3 linked regions of the Mus musculus genome follow. The protein of the gene in region 1 purifies or fractionates together with the protein of each later gene. This does not show direct contact. Links are inferred from orthologs where the notes say so. Each region holds a gene or a part of one and is shown in the gene's direction. Other genes may lie near its edges. The genes, in order: Lrig1, Erbb4 and Erbb2.

Region 1 (4,304 bases):
ATTCTGTGGTTCTTGGAGTACACATATTTAATTAAAAAGGGGTAGGTTTAGCTACAAATCTAAATAACTGGTTACAGTGCGATAGTTCTGATCTTTTCAGAAGGGTCCTGGGCCCAGGTTTGGCTGTGAATGAGTGCATGGGGATAGGGTTTCAATGTGTGTTTCTTTCCAGCTCTAAGAATGAGAGGTTAAACACAGGAAGAGCAGGTCTCAGGAGAGCAGCCACTGCAGTAAAAATAATTCCTCCATGTTGACTTGCACTCTTGCTGCTTGTCCAACCCGCTGAAATGTGCACTGGGAGAGTCTCTTTCCTCCACTTTGCTGGAACATAGATTTAACCATCTTCTTGACCAGTGGTAGTCAGGACCCAAGTTTAGTTACAGAGAGCACAGAGAACACGGAACAGCTGAAACACACCCACAGGCTAGCTCTGGCAGGACTAGCATAGCCTCCTAGCTAAGGAGATGGGATCCAAGACCGAGAAGACCGTTGAGGTCTCGTTGAGGTCTGTCTGGGTTGCTCTGAGCAGCAGTGGGAATGCATGATCCTCCTGTCAGTGGTTCCCTGTGGCCTCACGGAGCTACAGGATCACTTCCTGAACGATGCTAGTTATGACCCATCTAGCAGCCTGGGTGTCCCGGGCCACTTGTCCGACCTTTTCCCTGTGAGTTATGCCTGCTAGAGGTAAGACAAGCATCCTCTACCTCCCACTGCATTAATTCCCAAAGCAGGCTTGCTGACTCTCGGTGCACTGGCTACCTGGGTAGAATCAGGGTTGTGCAGACAGCACCCTAGTCACATTAGAGCAGGCAGCACTTTACAGCCAGTGCTAATTGACTCCACACTCATTAACTTGTTTAGGTTTTCTCAAGTTAAGTTGTCTTTGGCTTCCCCCTCTGTCTGGTGGAGGGCAGTCTTCTGTTTCCCTAAAACCTGATCCCTAGTTGGTGACCATGCTACACTGGGCATTGTAGCAATCCCCTCAGAACTACCCACCCACGGTTCATGAGAATCCTTGGTAGGAAATCAGAGGTTCAAACTCTGCTCCCTGTCTCCCACTTGTTTCTAAGAAACAGAAATGGCCACCATACACATTCTAGGAAATCAGCATGAAGCTAGGTGATGACAAGAACAGATGAGATGGGGAGGTCCTTTTGTGGAGGAAGCCTCGCTATGTAGACAGCACAGTATCGGCTCCTGGGCCCACCCTGGGATCCATCCAAGCGGATGGGAGCAGCTCTGACCAAGTGCTCAAAGAGCGTTTCTCATAACAGCCCCAGCTGGAGCAACCCAGACACCCATGCATAGACAGTAGGCAGGTAGCTATGCCATGGGACATTAGGTCAGTCTGTCTGTCTCACAGCATGGGTGAATTTTGACAATGATCTGCCAAGTGAAAGAAGTCTCATGAAATGTCTAGAATAAAGGACCCCATAGAGGTCAGAAATGTATGTCACCAGTCCCACTGGTGAGCAGTGGAGACAGAAGGGAGAGCTAAACAGGACAGCCTTCTCTGTTAGAGATGATAAAAACATTTAATATCGATTGTGCCAGTGATTACAACTATTTGTGAATACACAGCGACCGCCGTGTCTGGTGGAACTGACTCGCAAGTGACCAGTTCCTTGTCAGCCTGAACATTTGCTGGTGTCCGAACAGAACAGGGGTCTTACACTTGGTTCTCTCCCTAGATGACTTTCCAAAGCCACAGATCATCACCCAGCCTGAGACGACCATGGCTGTGGTGGGCAAGGACATCCGTTTCACATGCTCCGCAGCCAGCAGCAGCAGCTCACCAATGACCTTCGCCTGGAAGAAGGACAATGAGGTCCTGGCCAATGCAGACATGGAGAACTTTGCCCACGTCCGTGCACAGGACGGCGAAGTGATGGAGTATACCACTATCCTGCACCTCCGTCACGTCACCTTTGGGCACGAGGGCCGCTACCAGTGTATCATCACAAACCACTTTGGCTCCACATACTCCCACAAAGCCAGGCTCACTGTGAATGGTAAGGACATGGCATCTCGTGCTTCTCAAGCACAGAGTCCCACAGACTACACTGCTGATTGTCCTCTCTGACACTGGTGTGAAGAGACACGAGCCGTGGGGTGCATCTCTTTGTACCAGTCCTTGGGTTTGTCCCAGACCAAGTTTAACAGATTGAACCATCGTTTTTTGTTTGGGGTGGGAGATTTTTAAAGTCCAGTTATGTTAAGTGACATTGTGGAGTTAAGCTTTGTATTTTTATGTTCCTTGTCTTCCATAAGCCAAGAGATGCGGTTTCTAGATTCCAAGCATCCCTAGGTTCTAAGGAAGCTTGTGACCTTAGAGTAGATGTTATAACTGGGAGCAAGGCCGTTTGGGACAAGTACAAGCCCCACTTCCTCTAGAACAATGGTTCTTAACCTTCCTAATGCTTGACCCCTTAATATAGTCCCTCATGCTGTGCTGACCCCCAACCATAAAACTACTTTCTTTGCTATTTCATAACTGTAACTTCGCAACTGTTATGAATCACAGTGTAAATATTTTTGAACATAGAGGTTTGCCAAAGGGGTTCATGATCCACAGGGTGACCCATTGTTCCGAGCCGCTACTCTTCAGGCTGTGGAGAGCAGGTGTGGGTTGAGCCCCTGGCTCCGAGGTCCAGTGTGCAGGGAAGTTGTGACAAGGGTCTCTTACTCAGGAGCCAGCCCCTGGCCATCAGGGTGGCTTTCTTCTGGACTACTGATGGATGTGGTATGTTGAGGGATGAGGACAGCATCAGTAGCTAACTCTTCCACACTAGGCTAAGCTGGCTTGTGGGTGGCCTGAAGCACTGCCTCCATGCTCTCTGCTATTGTACAACACCACAAAGCACTCTACCACAGCGAGGCTGGCCTAAGAGAGGCCAGAGTGTTTCTTGGAGACCAAGTAGCTGTAGACTCTCCACCACAGTAGCTCAGACATCAAGTCTGGATACTGTCCACTGTGGCAGCATTGATACTAAAGCTACAGAAGCGAACGAACTACATATTTTTGCCTGGGTGTGGCTGGTAGTGTAGCCCCCATAGACCCCACCCAGAGTGGGTTTCCTCAAGAGAGGTGAGCCAGCTCACTGGTTCCTCCTGGTGACAGCATCCAGCTATCCCCTAATAGCAAATGTTTTGTTGCCCAGCTCTCTCCAGATAGCTAACTAAAGCAGGTCAGCACCAGACTTTTACTTCTGGAGGATTCCCTACATAGTAACTACTGTGGAGCTTCGGGAGGCAAAACGCTCCATCAGAAGCCTTCCGAGAGTGCTTAGCACCAGGCTATAGCAATAGGAAGGCGTTAAGGGTAATGGGTGCAGTATTGTGTCTGTGACGGGGAGAGGCTGGGCACCCCTTGGGTGGGATGGAGTAACAATGAACTGAGGCCTGGGCACAGTGGGATCTGTTTACTATGAGTTTCCTTTTGTATGCAGCCATTCCAAGTAGCTTTACCTATCATTTTTTTCCAGTGTTGCCATCATTCACTAAAATACCCCATGACATTGCCATCCGGACTGGCACCACAGCCCGCCTCGAGTGTGCTGCCACGGGCCACCCTAACCCTCAGATTGCCTGGCAGAAGGATGGAGGCACCGATTTCCCGGCAGCTCGTGAGCGACGCATGCATGTTATGCCAGACGATGATGTGTTCTTCATCACTGATGTGAAAATAGACGACATGGGGGTCTACAGCTGCACTGCCCAGAACTCGGCAGGCTCGGTTTCAGCCAACGCTACCCTCACAGTCTTAGGTTCGCTACGACAGCTCTCGCGCACGTGTGGCAGGGTCGGGTGGGGATTCAACTCAAGTATTAGAGAACCTGCTTTCTGGAGTCCCTGTGGTAGACTCTGTCTAGTTAATTTGAATTTTGGGGCTGCTTTTAAGCGAGTAGTTTCAGCTCATAAAAGACAATGAGCTATATGTTAGTCTGCGTGAGAATTCTGTGTGTGTGTGTGTGTGCACTCACACAGGTGGGCTATGATCTTAGGAGTAGTGACAAAGGTCTATAACAGGACAGTTTGGGATAGGGTAGGGCTTTAGTTCTTTGCTCTGTTGAGCTGTTCCTAGAATGGCAGTGATTTAATTACATTAGGCTTTCTGGAAAGCTTGGTGCTCCAATAAAAGATCTCAGATAGCATTTCACTACAACATGGGATTGTCTTCTGTCTGGAAAACATGTATACCTCCAGCAAGCGAGACCCATAGAATAAATGTGCAATTTCCACTGCCTTCCTGCAGAAACTCCATCCTTGGCAGTGCCTCTGGAAGACCGTGTGGTAACTGTGGG
Region 2 (4,404 bases), on another chromosome or scaffold:
CTGTTACACACTGTGGGGCCAAGGAAAGGCTTCAAGCTTCAGGCTTCTGCTACTGCTGTTTTCAGCTGCCTGGGAATTCTTAAGGGATGGGATCATAGTCAGAAGATGTGGGAGATGGGGAAGGACTCCAATAGTGACCGAGGAAGTAGGGTGGTTTGGTTTTAAAGCACCCTTGCTTTTTTTTTTTTTGTATATATTTAGTCACTGCTTTGAGAGCAAGCATAGAAAATGCCTTCATAGAATAGCTGTACACATAGCAAAGGAGTATCCTCTGACTCACTACAGGTTCTGGCCCCAGCATAGAGCAGTTTTAGACCTGTGGCCTCTCAGACTACAGTAATCCCTTCCAGGGCATTTTAGACTTAGAGAAACTTAGTCGTACAGCGGTTGATGACCTTGGAAGCACACACCCTGCAAAGAGGGCAAGTGCAGGGCCTCAAGCTGGCCCTGCTATGGCGTGGCCCTAACGGCTCGAAGGTCAGCTAAGATCTCACCTCCTAAACACCTTCAGACCGAACAGCACAGACGAGAGAGTTTGCATAATTTCAGAATCAAAGAATGTGGTTTCACAAATATGGATTTTTAAGTTTGGCCCAATGTCATCTTGGGAAGGTGGGAGAGATGGCTTATTTGGAAAAAAAAAACTATTGGAAGATTTCATCTTACCTGCGAGGCTACCAGCTACCTACAATATCCATTCTAAAGTACTAAGTATGCTAAGTATGGAATATTCTGGGTGATGGCGAGGGACAAAGATATTTTATTCCCAAAGCAACGTTGACTTTCTATTTCTAGGGAAGGTTCTGTGTATGGACTGACACCTTGGAGCAATAAAGAAAATGCCCTGTTCTTGTGTCAAAAAATTCGTTCAGCAAGCATTCCTTCTGGTGGACTGACTACTCAGCGGGCCAGCTGTCCAGGGCCTCTGCCGGGGCAGCCCCAAGGGGAGCGTTTCAGACAGTGGTCTCCACTGAGCTTCTCAGATCCTGCTTCCCCAAGCTCCTACCATGACCCTGCTGCTCCCACTGTCTGACAGGTGTTTTTCCAACTCTAGAGGCAGAGGATTTTGGGGAGTGTCTGAGCCAATAAGATTTCTCCTTAGGGGGAGGGCGTGGCTACATGGGTCAGAGCAGGGGCGGGGCTTGCGCAGCGGAGGAAAGCCTGGCTGGTTGTGTGGAGGGTTGTTTGATTCCCACCCCCCACTCCCCTCTTTTTTTTCTTTCTTTTCTTTTCTTTTCTTTTTCAAAAATCTTTCTTCTGACTCTTATTAATTTCTCTGTGGGGCTGCGGCTGGAGACCGCGGAGCGTTGGAAATGACGTTCGGAGCTTTAATTACTGCAATGGCTGGACAAGTGTGAGGAAAGCTGACAGTGGAAAAAAAGGGGGACAGGATCGGGGAGAAGCAAAGAAGCAACACCCCCTCCTTTTCCCTCCAGATTTGGACAGGAGGTGCAAGGAGACTGAAGAGAGAGCTGAACATAGCCCGGTTTTGGGGGGAGAGGCCGGAACCCCGCCGCCTCTTTGCAATCAACTTTTTTTGGAAGCCTTTATTCCCTCTTTCTTTTTATTGTTGACCAACCAGTGAGGAGAGCGAGCGAGCGAGCGAGAAAGTGAGGAGGGAACGAGCGAGCGGAGGATCACTCCGGGAACTAGCTGTACGTTGTGCTCGGAGCACCAGCCGCACAGTCGCGCTCACTCCCACCCGCGCGCCCTCCTCCGCGGCCCCTTGCCGGGTCCGCGGGTCCACGGGTCCTGGAAGCCGCCGCCGTCGCCGACTGGCTCTCCGGCCCCGGGAAGCCCGTGCACCAAGCGCGCCGCGCCCGCCCCCCTTGCGCCCCCCACGCGCTCCCGGCTGAGGGGGGGAGATCTCCTCCGCGTGCTCGCAAGTGGCTATGGTATTTGGACATGTAATTGTCAGCGCGGGATCTGAGACTTGCCAAAAATGAAGCTGGCGACGGGACTCTGGGTCTGGGGGAGCCTTCTGATGGCAGCGGGGACCGTCCAGCCCAGCGCTTCTCAGTCAGGTGGGTCGCGGTCTCGCGGTTCCCGGTCGCGCTCCAGCTGTTGAACCCGCCACTGCCTCCGGTGTTTCCCTTCTCCCTCGCCCCTCTGTCACCCTTAGGCTCCAGGGACCCTAGGGACCGGGCTTCTGCCTTGGGTCGCCCCTAGCTCCATCCCAAACTTACCTTTGTGTGTGCGTGCGTGTGTTTTTAATTGATGCTACAAATGACTTCGCTTTCCTGCCACCCTCTATATTATTGTCCCCCCTCTCGCCCTCTCTTTAGCCCCCTTCTTTCTTTCTCGCGCGTTTTCTGGGAGCCTAAGCGGGATCGCTTCTGGTGGCGCCCGTTGTTCGGGGCGTGGGAGACCTGAGCCCGTCAGTGGAGGTTCCCTCCTTCTCGAGCTGGGAAGGGGGGGGGGGGGAATCAAACCAAACCGGAGAATCGCTGCACCTCTTCGGGCTGCCAGGAGGTTCCTGAGCTGAGCCTGGCTGGCCTTCCCCGGGGTGCAGGGCTGCGGCGGAGCGCGGCCGGGGAGCCGGGCTTGGCACCTGAGCATGCTGGCGCAGGGTCCCTGGCCCGAGTCTCCAGTAGCCTGCGGGGTCACACCGGACGCCCAGCCCTATCCGGGCAGCTGGAGCGCACCGGGTGCGCGCCTCGGCCGGGGGCCAGGGACTCTGGGCCTTCTTAGTTGGCATCTCTAGGCTGTCTTGAGATTGACTTGGGGCGAGAAAGAGGGTGTGTGTGTGTGTGTGTGTTGGGCGTGCGACTCTTCAGCCAGCATGATCTCTCTCTCTCTCTCTCTCTCTCTCTCTCTCTCTCTCTCTCTCTCTCTCTCTCTCTCTCTCTCTCTCTCTCTCTCTCTCTCTCTAAAAGAGCCTGGCATACTGAGTCCAGAGCTCGGCCTTCCCTCCCCATGCTGGACTTGGCTCTGGGAAGAGTTCTTCCAGTAGTGCAACTTGGGGTTGGCCTAAACTTCTGTTTACTGCCCTGCCGGGCTGCAGAGCTCGCGGGTGGCGCTCACTGACTTAGCCCGAGGCGGGCCGGGTGGCGGCGTCCTGAGCGCTGCCACTGTTGGCTGGATCGCCCAAGCCCCAGGTATTTGGACAGAAAAAGGACTAATTGACCCCGAGAGAAACAGTGTCGCTGTCGTGCTGGGGCCGCCAGAGCCAATGACAGCAGCTGCGATGTAGAGGAGCTCAAAGTTTCTTGACTCTTGGGAGTTACCCCGGGGATGAGAGGAGGGGACGCGAAAGGACTAAGGAGAATCTGTGTGTCTGACCTGGCCCAGAGGGGAGAGAAGAGGGCTTTTGGAGAAGGCAGAGAGATTTCCGGAACCTTCCGGGGCTGGTGGCGGGAACGTGGGCGTCAGCTTGAGAAGATAAAACATTCAGGAGTGGCGACAGGGAGAGCTTTAGGTCCCTAGAGGGTGTCCTTCTGACCTCACCGAGAAAGCTGCAGCTTGCTAGTTTTCCCGCTCCGCCCCCGCTCCCGCCTCTTCCTCCTCGCCTAGTAAATAACAAGTTACAATCTCTGAGCGGTTCAAAATGACCTTCGAATGGCACATGTGCGCCATTTGTGCTGGCCGTTTGCATACTCCCAGTGACTCTGAAATTCTTCCTGCATACCAGATCCTGCGCTCCAGCCACCTCTGGAATCAGAGCAGCAGCAAGGACTTGAGATTCCAGGCGGCCGCCTAGATACATCCCTTTCTAGCCCCCGACTCGGAGCCCTTTGCCTTTCCCCTCAATGGGTTGATTATGCACATTGACCCATTCAAAAACACTTGCCACTGTCATGCAGGCTTAGCCGAGAGGAATTTCTATCAGGCCACCCTACCAGGGAGCTGTCTGGCGTGGCCCGGGCCGCTGGGGGGATCCCCGCTTCAAGTCCACAGCAATTTGGTATTAACTCTGCAGCTCCCGGTTGGGGCTATGCCGAAAAGCCCTTTTCAGAATTTAGGCAAGGAATGTAATCCAAATTAGTTCTGCAGCTGTCCCCTTCCGCGTCTCAGAGGACACCAGCCTGCGCCCAGCTCCCTCTGCTCTTTTCCCTGGGCGAATTGTCAGACCCACAAGTGAGCCCATTTAGAAGCAGGAGGATTAGCGTGCCATTGTTGTTTCGTGTGTGACTCTGTACTTGAAATTCTAGGGGCACAAAAGAGAGCCTCACTTGTTCAAAACACAAAGTGATCTAGATGAAAGGGCCGCACAAAGAAAAGCTCTCGGGTGTATCCTCGGTATAATTGCAACAAGCATACTTAGGTGATCTATTGGAAACTGTCTGTGCCCCCAAGGGCTTCTTCTTTTTTTCCAGGCGCCTCCACCACACCTGACAGAGAAAGTTCAGCTGGTTTTAATGTAGTGCTATTATCAAAACAAGTCGCTGTCTGGTGAGAGTGAGG
Region 3 (4,304 bases), on another chromosome or scaffold:
ATTAATTTTATGTATGTGAGTACACAGTTGCTCTCGCCAGACACACCAGAAGAGGGTATCGGATTCCATTACAGATGGTCGTGAGCCACCATGTGGTTGCTGGGAATTGAACTCAGGACCTCTAGAAGAACAGTCAATGCTCTTAACTACTGAGCCATCTCTTCAGCCGGAGGTGTAATTTTTATCTCTTTTCTAATTACAAAAAAATAACACCTTAGGGTCTGGAGAGGTGGTTGTGTAGTTAAGAGGACTCGCTGCTTTCAGAAGGCTGGAACTTGGTTCCTAACACACACTACAGGAGACCCTTGATTGCCTGATAACTAGCTTGAGGAGATCTGATGTCTTTTTCTGGCCTCTGCAAGTGTACACAACACACACACACACACACACACTCACACACATTCATGTAAATAAAGTTAAAAATAACACATTAACACATAGCTCAGTAAGTAGAGGCACTTGCTCATAAGCCTAGTGATTTCACCTAAGTTCCCAGGACCCACATGATGGAAGGAGAGAACCAACTCCCAGAGCTTGTCCTCTGACCTCCACATGCCTGTTGTGGCACATGCATGCCTTCCAAGTTCCAAGCACAAACACACACATACATACACACACAAATAAATAATGTAACCGAACTAAATCTGTACAGTAGTGCATTAGAAATTTTAAACTACACATAAGATATAAAATAATACTGTTGGCGGTTCTACTGTGAGTACTTTGAGTTGTTTCCCCAAGTCCCTAGTGCTGGAGACTTTGTGGATGTCAGAAGACAATCTGAAAGAGTCAGCTCTTCCCTTCCACCCTATGGGTTCCAGGGATTGAATGCAGTTGTCAGGTGTGGTGGCAAGTACCCTTACCTGCTGAGTCATCTTGCCAACTACCAACGTGTGGCCGTTTCTTTCTTTTAGGTGTGTGTGTGTGTGTGTGTGTGTGTGTGTGTGTGTGTGTGTGTGTGTGTGTGTGTATGTGTGTGTGTGTGTGTATGGAGTTTCTACTGCTGTGATAAACACCACAATAAACAGTAACTTGGCGGGGGAGGGTTTATTTAACTTATATCTCCACATCATAGTCCCATCCAGGGAAGTTGAGGCAGGAACTCAAGATAGAAATCTGGAGGCAGGAATTGATGCAGAGGATGCGACCGGACTCTGCTTACTGGCTTGCACGGCATGGCTTGCTCAGCCTACCTTCTTGCAGTACACTGGACCACTAGCTCAGTAGTGGCACTGCCCACCAGGACCTGTGCCTTCCCATAGCAACCATCAATCAAGAAAATGTGCACAGGCTTATACCGGCTTGCACAGGCCAGAATGGTGGAAACATTGTCTCAATTAAGGTTCCCTCTTCCCAAATGGCAGTAGCTTCCATCAAGCTGACTTAAAAGTGCGGATTGTTTTGCCTGCATGAAGATCTGTCTGGTGCCTTGTGTAGGCCAGAAGAGGCAGTCGGACCCCCTGGACCTCGAGTTATGGAGGGGTGTGAGCTGACATGTGGGTGCTGGATTATCAAACCTGGGCCCTCTGGAATAGCAGTCAGTGCTCTCACCTCCTAGCCATCTCTCCAGTCCTCTCCTCTCCCCATCCCTCCCCTCCTCCTCCCTCTCCCTCTGTCCTCTCCTGTCCAGACAGGGTTTCTCTGTGTGCCCTGGCTGTCCTGGAACTAGCTTGAACTCAGAAATCTACTTACCTCTGCCTCCGAGCGCTGGGACTAAAGGTGTGGGCCATCACCACCCAGCTTGCCCTCATTTCCTGATATAATCCAACACTTTCCTTCATATTCTGTGCTCTGCCTTTCACCCACTCTCTGTATCTTTTCCTACAAATGTTTCTCCATCTACCCTCTACAGATGTCCCCCTTCATAGCACATCACTCAGTACAGGCCCTATTTGAGGGATATCGTCGCTCTTGCTTGCCTATTTATTTATTTCATCCTGACTACAGTTTTTCCTTCCTCCCTTCCCTCCTCCCAGTCCCCCCAACCCCCAGTCCATTCCTCTTCCCCTTCTCCTCAGAGAAGGGCAGGCCTCCCATGGATATTGATCAGCCATGGCATATCAAGTTACAGTAAGACTAGGCACCTCCTCTTCTAGTAAGGCCTGATTTTTGTTGTTGTTGTTCAGCTCCACACACAAAGGGGCATCTGTGTGCATGCCTTCTTGTGACCTGGTGTTGGCATGGTAGTACCAACTGTTGGGGCAGAACTGTTGACATTTTATTGCTTGGTTGGTGGAGATCGGTGCCAGGACCTTGTAGACCTTTTCCCACTAAGCTATGGCCCAGCCACCCTGTGTGTTTAATAGGTCTTCCCAAATTCTCCTCACATGTACCATATACCCTAGGCCTCTTTCATGGAGGGACTAGCTGATCTTCCCACCGTCATAGTGCCCTGCTTCCTGCCCAGCGCAGGAAGTCCCAACAGTGCAGGGGAGGTGGATTCCCAGACTGAAGAGGGACTCTTCTTGTGGACAAGTACAGAGCAATTTGGAGACCTGGAGCCCGGTTCTGCTTGTCACATGGGAACAATCCTGCCACACCTGCCCCAGGAGGCTGTTCCCAGGTTTGATGATGGCACTCTCTCTCTCTCTTCTGCAGATGTGTGGACCTGGACGAACGAGGCTGCCCAGCAGAGCAGAGAGCCAGGTGGGCCTGAGCCCCAGAGGTACCCCCTTACTTCCCGACTCCTTCATTGGCCTCCGTGGTCAGTAATGAAGAGAGATTACCCAGAATGCACATTGTCTCTCTCCTTAGCCCATTCTTTCTTTACTGATTTTTTGTTTCAACAAGTGGATACAGATCTGCTCAGGATGCTTTGGAGTAAGGAATGCTGGGAAATGTAGTTCCCTAGGGATGCAGGCCAGGTCCAAGCTTCTAGAACTGCAGAGTGCAGTGGCAGCTTGTGAAACCTCAGATTATCCGAGCTGGGCACCTAGAAGCTTCCAGGATGGGGTGGGGGCGGGCAGGGGGGACGGTGTTGTGTTTTCTTTGCACTCCGGTGGAGAGTCAGGCAAGTCTAGGGTGGCTAAGAGCTCTCTGGTGTGTGCTGTGAACCACACCAGTGCAGAAAGGGTGTGAACTGAGGCCGTGAGGTCTAGATCTGGAAGGCAGGGTAGGGTTCTTGACCCCTGGGCCCCAGGACTCTGGTTTGCCAGAGGAGAGCTTTAGAAGGGAGAAAAGCAGTCTAGGGTGTGCTCTAAGAAGCTGCTGCTTGCCTGTGAGGCAAACACTGGACGCTGGCTGTAACAACAGGCCTTGTGCAGAGCAAGATGGGGATTAAGGAAGCAAGGGTGACAAGAATGTGTTCTGCCTCGACATGGTGGCAGACACCTTGTGACCCCAGCACTTAGGAGACTGAGGCACATGGCTTGTAAGTTCAGAGCCAGTCTGGGCTATATCGTGAGGTAGCCTCAAGACTAAGTATACCAACAAATAATGGTCTGGTGACTATCAGGGACCCTGTGTGCCCCAAGATAAGCAGAATCATAGACGATTATATCATGGAGAAACACGGGTCCTGAGAACTTAGGTGCAACTGCTGCAAGGCAGGGGAAACCATGGCTCCTTGAAGAATGCTTTGGCTAGTACCTGAGAGTTTTGGGGTACATATAACTGGACCCCATTTCATATGAGGCAGAAGCCCCTGGGGTGGGCTGCACAGTGCAGATTAACAAGGTGGGTTATCTCCTGTGAAGTTTTTGAGCCAAGGGACATTCCTGTCCTTTCATGGGTTCTCTTCAAGCTTCCTCCTCAAACTAGTCCCCAGTCTCTGATTCTGGCTCTTGTTTCCAGCCCAGTGACATTCATCATTGCAACTGTGGTGGGCGTCCTGTTGTTCCTGATCATAGTGGTGGTCATTGGAATCCTAATCAAACGAAGGCGACAGAAGATCCGGAAGTATACCATGCGTAGGCTGCTGCAGGAGACCGAGGTGAGGCGTGCCGAGGGCCTCCTAGCACCCCCTTGGCTTTGCAGCTAGCTGGGCATTCACCCTACCACCCTCTCGCTCCAGCTGGTGGAGCCGCTGACGCCCAGTGGAGCTGTGCCCAACCAGGCTCAGATGCGGATCCTAAAGGAGACAGAGCTAAGGAAGCTGAAGGTGCTTGGGTCAGGAGCCTTCGGCACTGTCTACAAGGTCAGGAGAGGACCAGTTCTGGCATGGGTGGATCTGGGGGAGGGGCATGGTCAAGAGACTGGAGTGGGCCAAGCTGGAGGCTGGGGACGGCTACTCCTCAGTGTCTTAATGGGGGCCTGACTCTAGTCCCTTTCTTTTCGCTCAGGGCATCTGGATCCCAGATGGGGAG

What was found.
Region 2: the proteins of Lrig1 (region 1) and Erbb4 purify together in Homo sapiens (affinity purification with western blotting; 3 studies listed by BioGRID and IntAct, with this or other methods). This does not show direct contact. The link is inferred for Mus musculus from reciprocal best matches to the Homo sapiens genes LRIG1 and ERBB4.
Region 3: the proteins of Lrig1 (region 1) and Erbb2 purify together in Homo sapiens (co-immunoprecipitation; 4 studies listed by BioGRID and IntAct, with this or other methods). This does not show direct contact. The link is inferred for Mus musculus from reciprocal best matches to the Homo sapiens genes LRIG1 and ERBB2.

Annotation. Positions count from the first base shown.
Region 1 is NC_000072.6:94,609,080-94,613,383, reverse strand, and holds part of Lrig1 (leucine-rich repeats and immunoglobulin-like domains protein 1 isoform 1 precursor), read left to right. Parts: intron 1-1,691; coding exon 1,692-2,012; intron 2,013-3,485; coding exon 3,486-3,767; intron 3,768-4,255; coding exon 4,256-4,304. UniProt on the Homo sapiens protein: Acts as a feedback negative regulator of signaling by receptor tyrosine kinases, through a mechanism that involves enhancement of receptor ubiquitination and accelerated intracellular degradation.
Region 2 is NC_000067.6:69,105,295-69,109,698, reverse strand, and holds the start of Erbb4 (receptor tyrosine-protein kinase erbB-4 precursor), read left to right. Parts: upstream 1-1,639; 5' UTR 1,640-1,942; coding exon 1,943-2,024; intron 2,025-4,404. UniProt on the Homo sapiens protein: Tyrosine-protein kinase that plays an essential role as cell surface receptor for neuregulins and EGF family members and regulates development of the heart, the central nervous system and the mammary gland, gene transcription, cell proliferation, differentiation, migration and apoptosis.
Region 3 is NC_000077.6:98,429,119-98,433,422, forward strand, and holds part of Erbb2 (receptor tyrosine-protein kinase erbB-2 precursor), read left to right. Parts: intron 1-2,598; coding exon 2,599-2,646; intron 2,647-3,792; coding exon 3,793-3,931; intron 3,932-4,012; coding exon 4,013-4,135; intron 4,136-4,280; coding exon 4,281-4,304. UniProt on the Homo sapiens protein: Protein tyrosine kinase that is part of several cell surface receptor complexes, but that apparently needs a coreceptor for ligand binding. Essential component of a neuregulin-receptor complex, although neuregulins do not interact with it alone.